Linked DNA regions of Caenorhabditis elegans. The protein of the gene in region 1 purifies or fractionates together with the protein of each later gene. This does not show direct contact. Each region holds a gene or a part of one and is shown on either strand. Other genes may lie near its edges.

Region 1 (5,720 bases):
CCCCATTCGGAAGAGGAAAATGCCGCTGAAAAGATAATTCTATCTCAGCTGGAAGCGGTTCTCTGTGCAGAAGGAGTTCGAAGTGCCGCCGGTGATTGTCAAAATCTTCCTCTCATTTATTCAATTTTATCGTTAACGGAGAGTACGCATTCACTAACTGCCCTCTTGGTTTCTGATCTTTTGTATGCCGAATTTGTAAATGAGAAACACGACGAAAGTAATCAGTTGAAACTCTTGAAACAAGTCTTCGAAAGCGTCAAAAAAATGCGTGAAACTTGGGCTGAAAAAATGGGGACTGAACATTTTCGTGGAAACATCCGCCGTTTTCTGGACGAAACCCTTCTCACGTTCATTCTGACATTTATTGATAAGGTTTCCGTTCATAACTTTTTATATTCATAATTATTTGTATTTTCAGTGTATGGGAGCCGTCGCAGTCCCAAGTGACACACGACTTTTCCATGAATGTTTCTTGCTCACTCAAGAATTTATCGATAATTGGCCATCTTCTCATACCTGCCGTGCAATGCTTAAGTCGATCAGGGATAAATTCAATTTATTAGTTTATTTTAAATTAGAAACACATCGATTCGGAAAACAGTGCGATCAGCTGATGTCTCCCGAAATGTTTGCCGAGCCAGAAACTTCTGAAAATCGAGAAAACACTCCTCAGCTGCACTGCGGAGTTTCAAGAGCAATTATAACAGCAATTGAGCATGTGTGGAGTGATGATGTGTATCTTCCTCCTATTGTTGATAAATTATGGGATTTCACATTGAAGCTTTTGCTAAAGCATTTCTCGTGGAGTCAAACTATGAAAAAGTTAGATTAAAAGTTCTTCTTCACGAAAAATATTTTGTTTTCTAGTTATTTCATGGAAGAAAAAAGAGATTGGACTTCAATGGTTACTCTCCGCTCGGATACTGGAAATCTTCATCAATTGGTTTTCGATTTCGCGTTGGAGTCAATTTGGGGAAAATTTCAGTTCGTTTATTTAAATACTTACTTACATTTAGATATCATTTTTTCAGTGATATCACAGTGGATACCGCTCCATTCGGTCAATGCCTAACAAAGCATGGTCGATCAATTGATAGTCTTTGTGTTCAAATTGATGATAGTATTATTGAAATGTTCTCCGAAGTTCTTCATCAAGAAATTGCTCAAGTTTCCGATGTTCCTAAACAATACAGATGGACGAAGAAATCACCACCGACAACGCATTCCAAATATGTTGTTACAGCTATTGAAATGGTTGAGAATTTGAAAGAAAAACTATGGTAGTTTATATTGCTTCCACAAAATTTTGTACGTATTTTTTTCAGCTGCGAAGAACATCCTCACACCGATGAAATTGTTCGAAAAGTTAATCTTTCAGCATTCAATTATTTCGTGGGGAAAGGGAACGAGGTAACGTTTATTTTGGACACATGAGATAATTTTTTTTCCCGCTAAGTTTATAAACCACTCCAATTGATGCAAATTGCAACAAAATATTTGTTTTCAGGTGCTGGATAGTGTCGAAGCTACAGGATCTTCTTTATCCCGATTCAAACGGAAAACCACAACTGATTCTGGCTCCACGGTTACTGATGACGATAAAATCAAACAACAAATCTATCATGATGCTAAATATTTCCTGAGCTATGCGGAAAATCTTGTATTCTCACAAGCTGATCTCACCGGATTACAAGAAGTCGTCAATCGATTTGACAAAGATGCACGTTCGGCGATTGTACAAGAGAAAAATCAGAACGAAGAAGCGGGGAATGCTTGAATTAATTTTATGTGATTATTTATTTACATGTACATTTTATTTTAACAAATGGGTTGAAGTCTTTAAAATCGTCTATTGCCTTAATATGGGTTCATGGTATTGGAATAAAAAGTGTATAGCATCGTATTTGTGTTCACTTTCTTAAAAGTTCGGTTAAAAATCCATCGATTCATTTCTTTTTCTTTCTTTTTCATTTGATATATTAAAGTGGTAAATATTTCAGATGACTTCCTGGGCAGATATTCAGAAACTTGCATCAGATTTGCAGAGAGTTCAACTGTCACAATCATCTAAAAAGTGAGAAATATCATTGATTCTTGGCCATTTTATATATTTGATACTAAATGATAGCACATACACCATTTGCCCTAAAAACAACAAAAAATTAATAAGGTTTTAGTATCAAAAATTTAATTATTTATCTCATCTGTATTAACAATTTTTCACTAAAATTCTCAATTGTAGAATAATTTTAAAAAATTATTCTTTAAGGCTCTCCGAGGTGAATTGCATTGAAGTCCTTCAAAAACTTATCGCTTCTCATCGAATTGACGTGGTCTATACTAGAGATGGGCATAGTTATGTAACTAAAAACCACTTGGAAACTGAGGTGAGAGGGCAGAAATTTTTTATTCAAAAAAAAAAAATGAAAATAAAAGTAAAATATTGGTAGATGAGACCAATATGTAGTCGTTTCTTAAATTTCAGAACCCTGAATTTTTTCGAAAAATCTCATTATGAAATGGTATATTAAATGGAAGCCACCATTCTTTTTTGCCACGTGGAACTTCTTGGGGTGATGGAGAAACTGGAGAATTTGATGGTGACTCGTGTTGGCTCTGAAATTTCCTTTTTTTTAAAAGAATACTAACATTCCAAACAGCTTAGGCTCACTTGATCAGGTTTCTTTAATATAGACTTTGGCATTAGAATTGCGGGAGATGGATTGGGCATTGTTGAGTGTTTGAGAAAATAAAAATGTCTATCTATTCTTTCTTTTTTTTCTCACAAACTCCGCCTTTTTGTTGACCGCAATGAACTTTTATGTTTACACAAATGCAGAAATGTGAGTACAGAATAAACTGGAAGCAGCAAAACATGTGATCATGTTTTCATTTTGACAGCAGCCTTGGTTTTCGATTTGTTATTGAGGATAAATTTACGGTTAGGAATAAATATGAAAGAAGAACAATTAATTTTTATTATAAAGTATCACAGAAAAAAGTAGTTAAATAAATATTTGTAAGCAAAAATGTGTCATTTACGTTTTGAAAATCTGGAAAATATTATCTACACACGAATAATTACAGTAATCTTTAAAGGCGCGTTGCTCTTTGTGTATAAGATAATAATGTCGCTTCGAGACCGGCTACCGTATTTTGGCAGAATAATTGGAAAATTACACAGGCTGAATATTTTCCAAAGTTTCAAGTTCATCAATCCATTTTTCAGATAAAAAACGAGTGCATAGCCGCTGGAGGACGTGCTTCTCTCACTGATATCGCAGTTGCTCTTAACATAGATTTCGATCATATCGAGAAGACTTCGCGCTTGATTGTTTCGACTGATGATGAATTTACAATTTCGAATGCAGAGATATTCGCGACGTAGGTCAAGTTTATTCACGTGATTTAGATAGGCCTAAAGTTCGGAAAAGAACAAAGAAGAACACATTGACTTCATTATTGTTACGTGTCGATTGCAAATTGCAAATCGACAAAATCATTTGTTCATTGAACACTCAAAAAATATAAATTTTCAGTGAATACGTACATCGTCTTCGTAACGAATTGCGTACACTTCTCGATGAGCAAGGAAATCAAACAACTGCAGCACTCTGCAAGCACTGGAATCTATCATCGGAACTTTTGCAATCCTTGCTAATCGAAAAATTGGGATCTTCTGATTTTCAAGGAGTGGTTGATGGGGATACGATCTATACTTCTTCATTTTTGAATGCCAGACAATTGGTTCTACGCGCTATTCTGATTGCATTAACTAAGTGAGAATCTGTTTTCCATTGCCGTTCAAATAATGTTTTTTCCAAACAGAATCACTCCTATTTCAACTATCCAAAAACGAGTTGGTCTCACACCGAAACGATTTTGGATTGCGTTCGAAAATCTTCAATCTCTCGGCGAAATTCCTGGTACTTTAATCGGTTCTCGTACATCACCTTCCTGCTCGTATCGTCCAATGATGTACGATCATCTTGTGAAGTCGTGCGTTTTGAATCAATATAGACAGAATGAATTTTTAGGTATGATCATCTATTTGTTTATCTTTTAATTTCTTTAAATTCCAGAAATTTCAACTCTAAAAACTCTAGGAGTAGATGCAAAACCAGCTCTCGAAGAAGTTCTTGGATCATCTGAATTCAAAAAACTTGTCAGTATGAGATCTATGTTTATGACAAAAGAACTCATGGATCAATGTATTAATGCTGTTCAAGGTTTTTTGTTTAATTGTTTTGAATTTTATTACTTAATTGAATTTTTAAATTTTCAGAAGACTTACAAAAAAGCGGAATATCCGACGTGCATTTGGCTCTTCAATCTCTAAATCTTCCTCTAGATACTGCTGATGAGGATGAAATCGGGTCAAAAGTTGCAAATGTGGAAAAAGATTCGCATTTTGCAGAGGGTTTTGTGTTCAAGGGAGCAGTTTTGACTGAAGCTCTGCGTTCAATTGACAAATTGTTGGACGTCAGAGCACATGAGGAAGTTGATCGATTAGAAGCGGAGAAAAAGAAACAAGGCGGAGCCAAGGCAGCAGTGAAAGTTCAAGAAGAGGTATACAAATTGAATTGAAAAAAAACTATTTAATTTTTCAGACGGATGACTGGGGAGATGGAAAGAAAGGTGGAAAAGGAGGAAAGAAAAACGCAAAAAGTGTGAAAGGTGGTTCGAAATCGTCTGCTCCTTCAACTTCATCCAATTTGTCGGCGAATATTTCCATAAATAGTGAGGAACTGGAAATATGGCTTCGTGAAAGTCAATCAGTACCCGAAGAAATTCTTTCAGTAATTGTGGAAAAGTTGAATCAAGAGGTCCATCTCATGGATTCTTCAGAAATAAATAATTTTTATGTTTCAGACAACAACGCTACTTCGCAAAAAAGTTCAAGACATTCAAGCACATCAATTGGTTGCCAGCGTCGCTAATTCCAAAAAGTCATTGTCTGCAATCGGCGATAAGTGTAGACAACTTTACGATTCATTTAACACATTTGAGACGGCTACTTCCACTTTTGCTGGTAGAAAAAACTTTAAAACTGAATAGAAAAATAATTTATTTTGAATTTCAGATCCCCTTGGCTCAGATCTTCGGCAATATCTTCTGAAAACAGTTGGAAATGAAATTGCATTGGCGTTGCTTTCATATGTTATGGGAGTAGATAATGCACACCAATTGAAGGAAAAACAGCGAGAAGAAACAATTGAAAACCTTCCTGAAATGCTCAGAGATCCGATTCGATCAGTGTTTGCGTCGCTGAAATCTACAGATGATGATGCTTTGGATAAATTTCATGATGCTGTTTATAATTGTTCGGCTCCAAGTGCAACTTCGTTGGCACTGAAAAAAGTCGACAAGAAAGGAAGGTAAAATTATTTTCATAATTCTTTCCAAAAAATATCTAAAAATTATTTATAGTGAGTTAAAATTTTGGAAAAAAATAAGCTAAAATTTTAAATTTCAAAATTTGTCGCAGCTGCTGGAAACAGGGCTGAATTCGAATTTTTTGAAAAAAAAAGCGAAATACGAATAATTTTGCAATTTTTAAATATTATTGATCGAAATTGAAATTGTTTCACAATTTCAAGTATATTTTTTTTAGAAAAAAAGTGACATTTAAAATTTAAAAAAAAACAAATTTTTTCAGAGCCGAAGTTGGAGCTAAAATTACAGCGGAACTTCATGAGCAACTTTGTTCTCAAACGGAG
Region 2 (13,246 bases), on another chromosome or scaffold:
AAGAACTCGAGGGATTGGGATTGGAACGTTTGAAAGGAGCTCTCATGGCAATTGGTCTGAAATGTGGAGGGTGAGTTAAAAATATTTGGATTTTTTAATTGTAGTCCTCGTTATTTTTCAGAACTCTGAAAGAACGCGCTGATCGTCTTTTCGCTACCAAAGGGCATAAACTGTCAGATCTCGAAAAAGCAGCAATGTCTTCAAATAATTCCGATGCCGAAAAGCAGAACGCTAAAAATTTGACATTGGCACAAACGGAAGCTCATATTATGGCACTTGCTGATATTCTAGCTGAAGAACGTACTGGAACTCGCGAAAATGTCGAGAGAAAACAAGCTAGATCTGCTGGAGAGGTCGAAGAAGAGGAGGAGGAGGAAATTGTGGTAGGTTTGAATTATTTTCTCTAGTTATTTTTAGAAACATTTAAAAATTCATTTTTTAGATCGAGGAAGAGGAAGAAATTGATGAGAGTGCACCATATAATCCAAAAAATCTACCGCTTGGTTGGGATGGAAAGCCAATTCCGTATTGGTTGTACAAACTTCACGGCCTCAATCTATCATATTCATGTGAAATCTGTGGAAATCAAACTTACAAAGGTCCAAAGGCGTTCCAAAAGCATTTCAACGTAAGTTCATTATATTGGTCTCGTTCAAAAACTTGATATTTGCAGGAGTGGCGACATTCTCATGGAATGAGATGTCTTGGAATTCCGAATACCTCTCATTTCGCCAACATTACGAAGATCAAAGATGCACTGGATTTATGGAATAAATTGAAAACCGAAAAGGAGATGGCTAAATGGAATCCGGACATCGATGAGGAGTACGAGGACTCCAGCGGAAATGTGGTCACCAGGAAGATGTATGAGGATTTGAAAAGACAAGGACTTCTGTAGACGCTATTTTATGTATTCCATTGTTCTTCTAAGTTATTTTTTTTCCTTTTTAATCTTACATTTCTGTAAGTTTTTAACCAATTGGTCTCATTTTTCAAATTTAATGGATAAACTTTTTTGTAATTTTAGTACAATTGAAATAATTTATCGGTATATACAGTTTCAGATAAGTAGTGAGAAAGTTTAATACTCAAATGCAGGATTTGCCTTGAAATCAGCACATCCTAAACAGCTACAATATTGTTCTCCTTTTCCGCAATAGCCACTATTACTGCAACAGTAGGATTCAGAATCCGGATCACATTTTGGAATTTTTCCAGTAGAAAGTCGTGGAGCATTGTAACCACAACGACCTGAAGATATATTCTTATAAGTTGAATTGAGGGCCTGTTCCCTCACCAACGTTGGCTGGATTCTCAGAAAATGTCCACCATTCTAATGGTTTATATTTGAAATCTCTCTGTTTTGCAAAATCAATACATCCATTACATTCACAATGTTCCTTTGAATTTCCACAGTAACCTCCATTACTACAACAATGAGCATTAGCATCATCTGGATTACAAGTTGGCGCTTCTCCTTCTAAAGGTGGAACATCTCGACCACATCGTCCACGTTTCCCTTCTCCAGCATCCGATGTGTACCATGTGATCTTTTGGCTTGGTTTCACTGGTTCTTTCAAAATTAAATTTGGATCTGCACCATAGTCAATACATTCAGGACAAGAACAGAATTCTGCACCGGAACCGCAATAGCCATACTGCAAAACGGTATTATGAAGCCTTTCACGGTGGTACTAACCTTTCCACAACAAGCATGACCTGGATCATCTGGATCACAAACGGGATAATATCCATCAATCAATGGAGACGATTTTCCACACATTCCAGCCAATTCCTCATTATCATCATATGTCCACCATCTTTTGTCGTCTACTGGAGAACACTTGTAGTTGAATGACTTTGTTGATGTGGTACAAATAGATTCAGCTGCAGCAGAGTTCAGAAGGGTACCTTGATCATCATCAAAGTCAATTGCCCATATCATAACTCCTCCAATATTATTTTCAACTATATAATCAACTTTATGTTTGAGACTTTCAGCATTTTCATATCCAACAAAGGTTTTTTGTTCAGAAAGCCAAATGAATGGGGTTTTGGATCCAGAATGAAACTTGGTTTTTGTAGTATCAAATTTCTCGTGCAGATCTCTCCATTGAACATCTCCACCTTCAAATTTTGTGCCTTCTGAATTAGTTGCCGTAGCAGTTCTCCACATATCATCTGTTGAGTCAACAGCATCACCCACATTCTTCCAGAAACGACCATAGAATGGGACACCCATATTTATCTGGAAGTTGATTAACGGTTACGGTAACTCAAATACCAAAATGTTTCTTACCTTATCAGTTGCTTTTATTTGGCAACTGTAGTCTTTCATCGTGGCATGTACGTTCATTCTTCCAGAGAATCTAAAAAATTATTTCGTTGCTCTTCGCTTCCCCTTACTAATTTTAGCTCACTTTTTCGGCATAGCAAACTGTAATGGTGCTGGGGGTCCAGTGTATGCACCCCATTTCGAAGCCCATGCTCCAAAATAATCATAACTCATAACATTCACAAAATCACAATATTTCATCAATTGTTGTAGATCGTATCCTGGTTTCAAGACCCAATGTCCTGCTGCTCCAGCGAACGATATGAGATACGACTTTCCTGTTTCGGATTCCAAATCTCTCAACTCATTTCGAAGTTCTCTCATCAAGTTTACATAATTCCTTCGATCAGCTGGAGTACCCTCAACAGCACCGCCTGTTACGGGATATTCCCAGTCAATATCAACACCGTCAAAACCGTACTCTTTAATAACTTTGACAAAGTTCGAGATTAAAATTGATCTGAAATTTTATGTGTTTTCTAGATCACGCCTTTGACACACCTTCTAGAGTGATCTGCAGTTAAAACGGAAAAATATTGAGAGTTTTCCCAGCCTCCAACAGCGTACAAAAGCTTGAGATCTGGATGACGAGATGCAACCTAAGATATCAAATATCATTTTAAAAACCTATAACTTTTAAATAGTTTTTGACAATACCTCTTTAACATGTTCCAATCTTGCTTTTGCAGCATCTCCTTCCAACTTGACACTTCCATCTGAATCGACGACGAAGAAGGCGAAAACTAAGTGTGTCAGCTTTTCAGCCTTAATTTGAAAGTGTTAACTGAAAAGTTTATAAAAATACCTGATCATCTCTAAATGGATGTTTGCCCCACGATGTAATATAACCAACTCTTCGTCTTCCACAAGATCGGTCTAGGATTCCACCATTGGACACTGAAATTTTTTAAATATCAAATTTCTTTGTGACCTTAGCGATTAAAACTAATTTTTAGATACTGTTTTATGTTTCAGAGTTGTGTACCTAATTAAAATATAAGTACGCCTGTGACGTCACATTTCTACCATTTGCTATTACATTATTGGCTACGATGAAGACTCCGACAACCCGTTAATACCAAAATAAGTATGAAATATACATAACTGTTTTAATTTGTTACCAATTTTTATCTAAACTTCGAAATGAAGTTTATAATAAATCTGCAAATATCTGGAAGTTCGATAAATTTGCATACCTCCAAAAAGTACAGTAATCCACACAACGAACAGCCACATCCACATCACGAATCTCATTGGCTACGCGGACAAAAATGAAGTCAAGTTCCATTTCTCAAGGAGCTTTTCAATCTCTACACTGTATTCCTGCGTTTATACAAGTTCTCACACTATTTCTCACATTTCTTGTATTTACACGCGCTCAAATAAGGTGTGAAAAGCAAAAAGCAATGCGCCTTCAAACAAGTCCGTTTCGTGTCCATTTACGAAAAAGGACGGCTCTTTCTTATTGGTTGTCCCGCGAGAATCATGATCTACTTCGTTTATTGAGGGAAGCGAGGCTTCCAATTCAGCAGAAATCACACGAACAACAAATTGAACCAGTAATGGCAAACAAATAAATAAACACATTATAATTATTAAAATAAAAACAAGTTTGTAGAAATTTTGGTTTTAAAAAGACTGTATAAGTTACGGTTACAGTTAAAGTCTAGATGGTTTTAATACTTTAAAATCTGAGACTATTTTAGGTTTTTCTAGCAGTTCTCCGCTTGATGGTTCCCGATTCATCTTGTTCTGTGGTATTGCTCTTCTCTTCAACTTCAGGCTCCAGCTTCTCTTTGTTTTTCTTTTCTTTCTCATCACCACCTTCTCCGAATTCGTTGATTCTGGTGTAATCAACTGGATACAGCCATCTTTGGTAGAGATATACAAGGAACACAATATCGTCTCTGATACAAAATTATTATAATATCTTCCTCTCTGAAAGTTTCTTACCTGAAGCAGGCCATACGATGAGCAGTTGGCATGGTTATGACAAATGCAAACAAGTCATCAATAAACGTATTGAATGCCTGTAAATTAGATAGATCTCGATATGAATATTTTGTAATTTTAAGTTACCTTGTACATGAAAGCTCTCCATGGAAGATGTGCCACACTCTTTAACTTGTAATTGACAAACAATTGTGGTAACATAAACAAGAAGCCAAAAGCATAAACTCCATTAGCAGATGTTTCCAGAATCCATGATCGCCATGATTTATGAGGAACGTAAAGTAAGCTATAGATAGCTCCACCAATAACAAGTGGAACTAAAAGAATCGACAGGTACTTCATGGCTTGCGAGTCGATGGAATCAGTTTCGTCTTCTTCTGTTGAGTGTTTTCCGAATTTGATTCCTTTCCAAGTTATTGTAACTTTGTAGGCTATGGTGACTTTCCAGTATTCGATTACTGTAGCAATTCCAGCAGGAATCAGAACAAGTAATGATGTTTGTTGATCGAAAAGATAGAAGAAAATTATTGTTTGAGAGAAGCATCGCCATAGGAGAGTTCTGAAAAATAATCATAAAATGGAAACATGTGCTATTCATACTTTGTAGATAGTCCGACCATTGATTTTCTTCCCTTCCAAAATGAAATATCATTTTTGAAAGCTAATGCATCAAATAGCAAATGTAATGTAGATACGAAGAAAGTAACCATCAAAAGAACAATTGAGGTTTCAGTGAAAAGTCCACGAAGCTCATCAACATCCTTATCTTTAAATCCATGTTTCATGAGCTGGTGGGTCGAACGAGCTGTTGAGGTGAGCAGAAGCAGCTTGGCAACGCTTGTTGGTTCGTAGTTAATGGTCAAGTTTACAGACTTTTGGAAGTCGGCGAGTTCATAGAGATGCTTGCTTCTCATACTCATTTCATCCACAAACATGATTGGAAGGTATCCTTCTTTTTTATCCTGCCGTTGAATCGTCAGAAAGTCACTGAAAACGAACATATATTTTCATAAAATATTTATTGAACTTACGCCAATTCTCCACTGACTTTGGTCTTTACGTATCGGTTCGGTTCAGATACAATTCGTACCGGCAGAATTGTTCGGAAATGTGCGGCCAGTTCAACAACTTTTGACTTGGACTTTTTCGGTTTTTCATCGACTTTTTCTTTGACTTCTTCATCTCCTAAGAGTTGGAAAGTCTTGGCCACTGGCTCTTGAAAAACTACCATAGGAGCCGCTACGTGCACTTTCCATGAAGCTTGCATCGGATTACGACCATCAAATTTATGTGGAAGTAAAATTGTATGTGCATATAGGTAGCCATCTTTAGCAACCGAAGACGGAATCTTCACTTGAAGCTGAAAATAAAATATAAAATGAGGTTATTCTATATTTTAGAAAATTACATCTTTCTGGAAGGCATCGGCAACTTGCAAGTTTTCAACAGTCGTGATAAGTGTCTCCAATGCATCTCTTTTCGTTGAAAAATAGACTCGAAGCTGTAGTAAATCGTACAATCCTTCGTGGTTGGGTTGAACAATTGGCTATAAAATGTTATTATAGTTTTGCCTCAATCGAAAAATTTACCGAATAGCACAATTCGTCAGAATCCTGATCTGTACATAACTCCGGAGTGAAAAGCTTATAAAGTTGAAAAAAGTTGTAGAACATGAAACTGAGGAACAGTGTGCTCACAATTTTTGTCAGGTTTATCTCCATCTGGAAAAATCACTTTTTGAAAGAATTTTTGAGAGATTCATCCAAATATTAATATCCGGTGAAAACGGAATTTCATGATACTTTCATTAAATACAAATCGGAGAATTTCAAAATTTATTCAATGAGTATCTAAGAAAAGTTCACCAGAAAAAGTAAGAGAAAATGAATATACTACAAGTAAATTGAGGTATACAACCAAAGTGATGAAATATTTAGAGGGAGATATGAGGAGATCAGAAACGCGTTAAAGAAAATGGTAAAATAAAAATGAATGGTGATATTGAAAAATGTAAGTATTTCGTTATAATTCAAAAAGTTAGAATATTGCTCATATGTCTTTCCTTGAAGTACACATTTCTTTTTGGTACAACTTCTGTTTCATTTTTCGGAACCATCCATGAAGTCATTCTTTTGCTTTGTGATTTCCCTTCTTCCTCGTCATCTTCCCAACTGCCTGGAACACATCTCTTCTCAACGATAGTACTGGCTGTTTTCCAGGATGATCGAACGAGTGAGCAGAAGCCGAAAACTGGTTCCACACTTAATTGAAGGAACTTCTTTGTGTTTGGATCTGAAAGAAAAATAATAAAATATACTATTCATAAAATAAAAAGACCTCCAGGATATCCACTTCCATATCCAGCATCTGGAACTTTAATATTTTTCTCTCTAAATTGCCAATTTCTCAAACGCGAGTCTCTCGTGACTTTGGCGGCAATGGAAGCTGCACTGACGATAGGAAAAAGTGAATCAGCTTTTTCAGTCACGCAAATTGAAATTCCGGGAAATAATTTCTCGAGTTTGGCTTGATAAGTTGCTTTCGGGCCAACTGTGTCCACTTTGATCTGAAAAATAGTATACCTTATATTTAGCTTGTATATATTTTCAGGAAACCTCCACTACATTCACATTGCAAGCTAGCGCATCTCGAATCAAAGTGATCGCAGCTTCATGGGATACTTCATTCAACGAATACTTTTGTCTTTTGAGCATTGAGCAACTGATCAATTCAGGGGAAAGACATCTGAGAGCATATGCTATGATCTGTTGGATGTCTTCGTCTTCATTCATCTTGTTGAAGATTTCTTCACGTTTCGCCTCGTTCAACGCTTTTGAATCGTCGACACCAAGATTTTTCAACTCTACATTTTGATCAAGTGGGGAAATCGCTGCTGCGTAGACCATAGGACCGAGCACTGGACCTAAAATTTGGATATATTAGATTACTGAATTATCAATTATTGACTATTATTTTCCACAAACCTCTTCCAGCTTCATCAATGCCCAAAACGCACGGAATACCATTCCCGAAATTGTTCCACGTTTTGCTTCGTTCAGTTTCACACTTCAGTGACATTCTCTGAGAGAACAAATATTGTAAAAAAAATAAATATCTATTCATATAATACATTTTGAAGGTTAATTCAAGAAAAAAAGACATTGAAGTGAATAATGACATAAAATAAATAAAAATCGTGGAAATAAAATTCAAATTGTGATGCGGCCGAGCTTTTTCTTTATGGTATGCAGATACGCTCTATTGACAATAACTAGGAAAATTCGGTCGCGAACAACACTTGGACAATATTACTGTACCCCACATATTTATATGCACAGAAAAACTTTCAAACGTATAATTAGCTATCACTAGCACTTTATGACGTCGTTCGAATGATTTTGAAAAATCAGAAATTAAAAAGCAAATACAACAAATAAGCTGATGGATAAAATAAACGTTTTAATAGGTTATGAAAGTATACATTACAATAAATACGATTTTCTAGTGTGTACCGGTTCCTCAAGGATTCCGCACCTCAATAAAATATTTGACAGTTTTAGATCTTAATTTGCTATGAGTATTATCAAATACGAATTTATATACTCCAGGCTCCGCAGCACACACTTCTCCATCTTCCGGAACGAAGTCTGTTTGAAGTTTGAATTTTGGATGCACCATGTAGTCATCGTCATGCTCTGCAACTTTCTCTTCACCTTCTGCTGCTCGAAGAATCGAGAAATTGATATCGTTATTCTCCAGCCTCCACCACCAATAAAGTTTTCTTCCTGGTACATTTCCTTCGAGAGTAATGGGAACAAATGTTGTCGAACGAGCAGAAACGTTGAGTTTGGTAAGCTTCTCAGCTGGAAGATCGTTGGCCGGGTCATACCTAAAAAACAGGATTATTTTTCAAATAAATTTTCCTCTGCAAAATTACTTCAATTCAGCAGGAATCTTGCCACCCATTCGAACATTTCCATATTCAGTTTCAGCCTTTCTAGTTCCACCCCATCTTTCAAATAGCACTTCTTCTCCAATATTCTCCTTCAAATGTTGTTTCCAATCGTTTCCCAAAATCTTGACTTTCTGTTGAGTTTGCTTGGCAAGACATGGCGAGATCATACTCCAGAGTACTTGAATAAATGTTGGTGTATTAACAATAAATATCTTACGAATTACATCAGGAAACATCTCCTGAAATTAAACAATTCAATTTTTAATACGACTAATCTGGAAAATGTACCTGAAGCTGCGAGAGCATGGTAGTCACAACCTTCAAAGCAGCCAAATCAATTTGAACCATTGAAAGTCCGTCAAGATCGAAAATGACAGATGTTCCCAATGGTTTTCCTTGCTCTTTTTCCATTTTTCTGAAAGTATAAGTTCTAATTTTTCATTATTATTACAGTAGTCTACATCTTATTTCGCAACTAATGTTTCTTAATCTCTGGACAAAATATAATTTTCGGGTATTCGATATCAGTGTTCTATTTTTCAATTTTTCTCTTCCGCTATCATATAAGTCACAGAGTAAACAGTATTCCAATCACTTTTGCCACACAGACTAGAGTGACGTTATCTTGAACTACGCATACCTGATAATTTGCATGACTCCTTCACTTTCAGCAATTCTCATTCTGTATAAATCCGAATTTCTTGTGGCTGGCATGAGACCGGCTGCGTCAAGATGTCCAATCATTTGAAGAGAGACCACATTATTCTCATGATCCAATCCGATTAAAGATCCAGGAAGGTATCGAAGTGGAACACTACAATCATCACATTTTTGTGCCACTTTTTCCAGTGTTGAGAGATCTTCTTGGTCAAGTCCAAGTGCATGAATGGCACGAAGTGAGAACTTGATTTTTGGAACCACAACATCTGAAAATATATCTATTTCATTTTACAATTTTTTCGAAATATTTCAAAACCATCATAAAATTCATAAAAAAAACATTTACAGTTTAAACAATATTCCAAAAAGTCTTACCAATTTTTCGATCCCATCCGATTAACCATCTCATAAGTGAAAAATCATCATCATATTCTTTCACTAATTCTAATTCTTTATGAATCCTTTTTCTGAGTTCATCGAGAAGCTTACGATCACTTTCAGTAATTTCTCCAGTACTTGTAGACATCCTTTCACCTGACAATCGTTTTTTGGTCAATTTCATTTTTTTTGCTAGAAGCTGGTGTGAGAGAATAATAAAAAGTTAGAAATATATAATTGTTATCAATGAGAATATGTAAAATGACAAATTTTATCACGGCGCCCGGGGCGAACCGAACTTTATCGAAAATCAAAGAGGATACAAATATCGAATAACACATGACTACATTTTTAGCCGTTTGATTTCATTTTAAGAAGAATCAATTGACACAGAGCATAATGCACAGTTTCACGAAAAAATCGTTGTGTGTACTAAATGAGCACACAATTCATTTGGTGATAAGATGTTTCAGTGAAAAAACTACTAAAAGTATAATGTTTTCATTCTCTGCAGATAAACTATGCACTATTTTGAAAGACTTCATCTTCATTAATTTGAAACTAAAATTCCAATTTTATTTTTGAGAATCAAAGGTACATTTCAAATCTCAAAATTTTGAAACTAGAATTTTGTATATATATATATATAAGTTGAGCTCGCATTTTTAAATTAATTTTTGCACATGTGCACTTTTTTTTTACTAAAATTATGTATTAATTTTTGAACTTGCAACAATGCTTAATCTCTTAATTTCTCAACAAGTCAAAATTGTTCAAAATTTTGGCAGTTTGCCAAAACGGGTTTATGAAAATCTAAAATGTTGTAGTTTAGCTGGAGTCCTTCTGCATTGATCTTTTTTTAATTATTAACTTTTTAAAAAGTGTTACAAAGTCAACGGTAAACTTATACTAAGCATTTGAAGAAAAACATTTATCAAAAAAATGCCACCATTTGTTTTTAGTTGGCATCGTACAGTTTTCCATATAATTGATAACTTGTACGACGAAAAACTGATGATGAAGGACATAGTACAATTATCAAAATAAAAATGGAAAGCAATTTACCATCATTTTCCTTGGATTTCATTCGAGAGAATAATCCCATTTAAATTTTCAAATAAATTTTATTCGTTGAAATGTCTTCTTAAAATGCATAGTTAGCCTTTGCTCGGCCCCGTTTCACGAAAAACAAAAAAGAAAAAAGAAAAAAGAAAAAAGAAAACCAAACTTTTTTTTGAAATCCGAATAGAAAATCGGCTTATTCTTCAAAATGGAGAATCCTTGACAACCAAAATTTGAATATTACAGGATAAAGAGAGACATAGACAAAAAGAAGCCATTTGAGAACGGGCGGTCTCCACCTACCAAAGAGAAATGTTTCGAGAGAGAATGAGGGGGAGAGAAAGAATAATATTATAGTAACGATAAGAGAGGAAAGTATGCCTGGAAGAGACGGAGAATAAGTTATGAACATGTTTCGAAACCTTTTTTTTGGAAATTTGTCACTTTGTTTCTGAAATTTAAGCCAATAATTTTTTAAATCAAAATTGATAATTAAGATGGGACATTGAAAACACGAGGATATCAGATGTTTTATATTTCACTATATTATAATTTCAACATCTACATTTTCTTCAAAATTATCATAAACTGCTCCAAATTGTCTTGGAAGTAACAATTTTACATTTTATTTAATGATCAGCATTTGGACTGATCTTCTTTAAAATTAAGCTGTTTGATTTTTGATAATTTAATTTTCTGTAATTTTGAAAGATAACAATACGGAAAGGAAATTTACTACCAAAAAACAACTATACAACCAAAATTCCTGACTATTTCTATCAATTTTGAGATAAGTTGGAAAATTCAGAGTTTTAGGTTAATTCTATGCATTTCAAAAACAAGTGATGCATGGAGAATCTGCCATATTATTCCACAGTATTTTTTTTCGCTAAATATAAGCGAAACAACGATCACATCAACAGGGAAAATTCCTTACTTTGGAAATTTACAAAAAATCAAAATTTTGCGTTTATAAAACACAATTTAAACGAAAAACATGAGACTCTAGTAATTCTCCGATCGATTCTCTTCGGGAAGCAAAGGACTGTCGGGTGTTGTGGCGGAAAGGAGCAAATACTGTCTTTGCCTGCACTCTCCTTTCACTACGAATCTATTCCCTCCTGCTGAACACAAATACACACATGAGACTTTGTTTCTTTCCGTTTATTTTTCCCGGACAATTAGTCTAGTCTAACAGGCTCGTCTTGATAATTTGTGTGAAGTGGGATAAAGCACAAAAGACAGAAATAGATGTAAACTTGAAGTTGAGAATTTGAATAAACCGACTTAAAAAAAACATAAAGATTAATCAGAGAAACAATTCCGCCTGTTCTGAAAACTGAAAAACCGAAATTGTCTAATCATTGATAAGAAAGCGACTTGACCCGGAAAGCCTTCTTTATTGCAAAACAAGCCAGCTTTCAAGGCAGGTTTCGGCCGGTAAGTACGCCAACAGGACCAGTTACTTGCTCTGAAGTTAGACTACAGATAAATAAGACATTCAAACCGTTATAATAACTGTTTCGGGAAACCAAGAAAACAAAGAACGCAATTTTCAAAATTAATGGTCATTCAAATGACTTTCTGCAAGATTTGCGGAAAGTTTTTCGAGGTCATCCTTTGTGTGGCAATAAAAATGAAATTAGCCCTCCTTTATATTGTTCATCGAGTTAACAGAATGTTGTTGACTTACTGAATTTAGAAATACTCTTGTTGTCAAGTTTAACCAGAGAGCAGGTGATATTGAACATTCCGAATGTGATGACTCATTTCAAACTGGCTTGTATTGGAAAACGAGAAATGAAAACTGGCTGAAAACTAGTAAAAAATTCAATATGTGAAAAGAAATTAAAATACAGAAGTTAAGTTCCAAATCTTCGTTAAGTTTTATTGGCAGCTTTTTAATTCGAAACTCACACAAGAAAAAATCGCCATTGAGCTCCAAGTCAGTTTTATCATTGAGTTTTGTTCACGTAATATGTATATAGATAATTTTTTTCAGAAGTTTTTCCATAAGCAGATAATAAATTTGTGCTCAATTCTGGATGTCTTCACTGGTTGTAACTTCTGCCGTGTAGTGCCACTCAATTTACACTTTTTTCCAATATTTCTTGATATTCGAAACAAGGTCCCTAGACAATATATTGTGCTTTTTGAAAATATCTCACTAACCCCCCTACGTCACAGAATTAAAAAAACGAACTCCCTCACCAAAAAAACCTAAAATGGACTCCTTGTGCAAAGGCGCAGAAAGATCTCGTATTCTGATGAACGACTTCGGGTTTTGAATTTTTTTTTTCGCTATTCCTCTGTTTCATGTTCAACAATTATAATTTTGTTTGTACTTACCATTCAAAAAATTTTAATAATTTAAAGCTATTGGGTATTTGACTTTATTTGCATAACAATCCTGAAAATTTTTTTCACCTAGGTTTATCAGGGAATAACTCAGTGAATTATAAGTTTGTCTATCAATCCATAGAGAAATCCTTGATCTTCTGCTTTGATAAATCGATTATGATCGAAAAAAACACACGGAAAGAGGTACTTTTTGAAAGATAAATGTGACAAGAACAGATAGAGACGGAGCCTGAGCACACACACTTGCTGGTTCTTCAATATCTTCACAAAGTTCTTCACACCTTTCGCCTCTCATCTATTTCAACTTCCGGTTAAAGTTCTGAACTTTTCAATTTTGCAAAATTGACTGAACCTAAAAAATAAAAGTGCTGAGTACCTGCAAGACTATTACAATCTTCTGTTAGACTTTTTTCCAAGCTAGGGTTCTATAACCAATGTCAAATGAATCTTCAATAATAATTGCTGGAGGGTATTCCAAGATGGAGGAAATATTTGAACCTCTAATCAAATATAGCTTATACAATTGGGATTCATAAAAACAG

Evidence for each region.
Region 2: the proteins of ufl-1 (region 1) and T13H5.8 fractionate together in Caenorhabditis elegans (co-fractionation; one large-scale study listed by BioGRID). This does not show direct contact.

Annotation. Positions count from the first base shown.
Region 1 is NC_003282.8:7,033,140-7,038,859, reverse strand, and holds the start of ufl-1 (E3 UFM1-protein ligase 1 homolog), read left to right. Parts: upstream 1-2,000; coding exon 2,001-2,074; intron 2,075-2,269; coding exon 2,270-2,387; intron 2,388-2,388; exon of another isoform or gene 2,389-2,481; coding exon of another isoform or gene 2,482-2,616; intron 2,617-2,671; coding exon of another isoform or gene 2,672-2,731; exon of another isoform or gene 2,732-2,737; intron 2,738-3,229; coding exon 3,230-3,384; intron 3,385-3,539; coding exon 3,540-3,779; intron 3,780-3,828; coding exon 3,829-4,037; intron 4,038-4,082; coding exon 4,083-4,229; intron 4,230-4,285; coding exon 4,286-4,569; intron 4,570-4,610; coding exon 4,611-4,826; intron 4,827-4,872; coding exon 4,873-5,032; intron 5,033-5,083; coding exon 5,084-5,378; intron 5,379-5,659; coding exon 5,660-5,720. Other genes in the region: cogc-2 (Conserved oligomeric Golgi complex subunit 2), read left to right, coding at 1-372, 419-822, 868-984, 1,032-1,280, 1,326-1,410, 1,508-1,777; C06G3.3 (uncharacterized protein), read right to left, coding at 2,482-2,616, 2,672-2,731. UniProt on the Caenorhabditis elegans protein: E3 UFM1-protein ligase that mediates ufmylation of target proteins.
Region 2 is NC_003280.10:8,511,273-8,524,518, reverse strand, and holds T13H5.8 (Lipid scramblase CLPTM1L), read right to left. Parts: upstream 6,010-13,246; coding exon 5,878-6,009; intron 5,835-5,877; coding exon 5,697-5,834; intron 5,649-5,696; coding exon 5,320-5,648; intron 5,276-5,319; coding exon 4,889-5,275; intron 4,848-4,888; coding exon 4,415-4,847; intron 4,366-4,414; coding exon 4,289-4,365; intron 4,243-4,288; coding exon 4,038-4,242; 3' UTR 3,823-4,037; downstream 1-3,822. Other genes in the region: prp-9 (Matrin-type domain-containing protein), read left to right, coding at 1-70, 122-383, 443-628, 674-898; cht-2 (GH18 domain-containing protein), read right to left, coding at 1,082-1,251, 1,298-1,658, 1,700-2,248, 2,300-2,369, 2,421-2,795, 2,837-2,934, 2,993-3,100, 3,141-3,232 and 1 more; rnh-2 (Ribonuclease H2 subunit A), read right to left, coding at 6,318-6,580, 6,626-6,854, 6,904-7,211, 7,273-7,366; ctg-2 (CRAL-TRIO domain-containing protein), read right to left, coding at 7,808-8,177, 8,226-8,482, 8,532-8,658, 8,884-9,169, 9,279-9,465.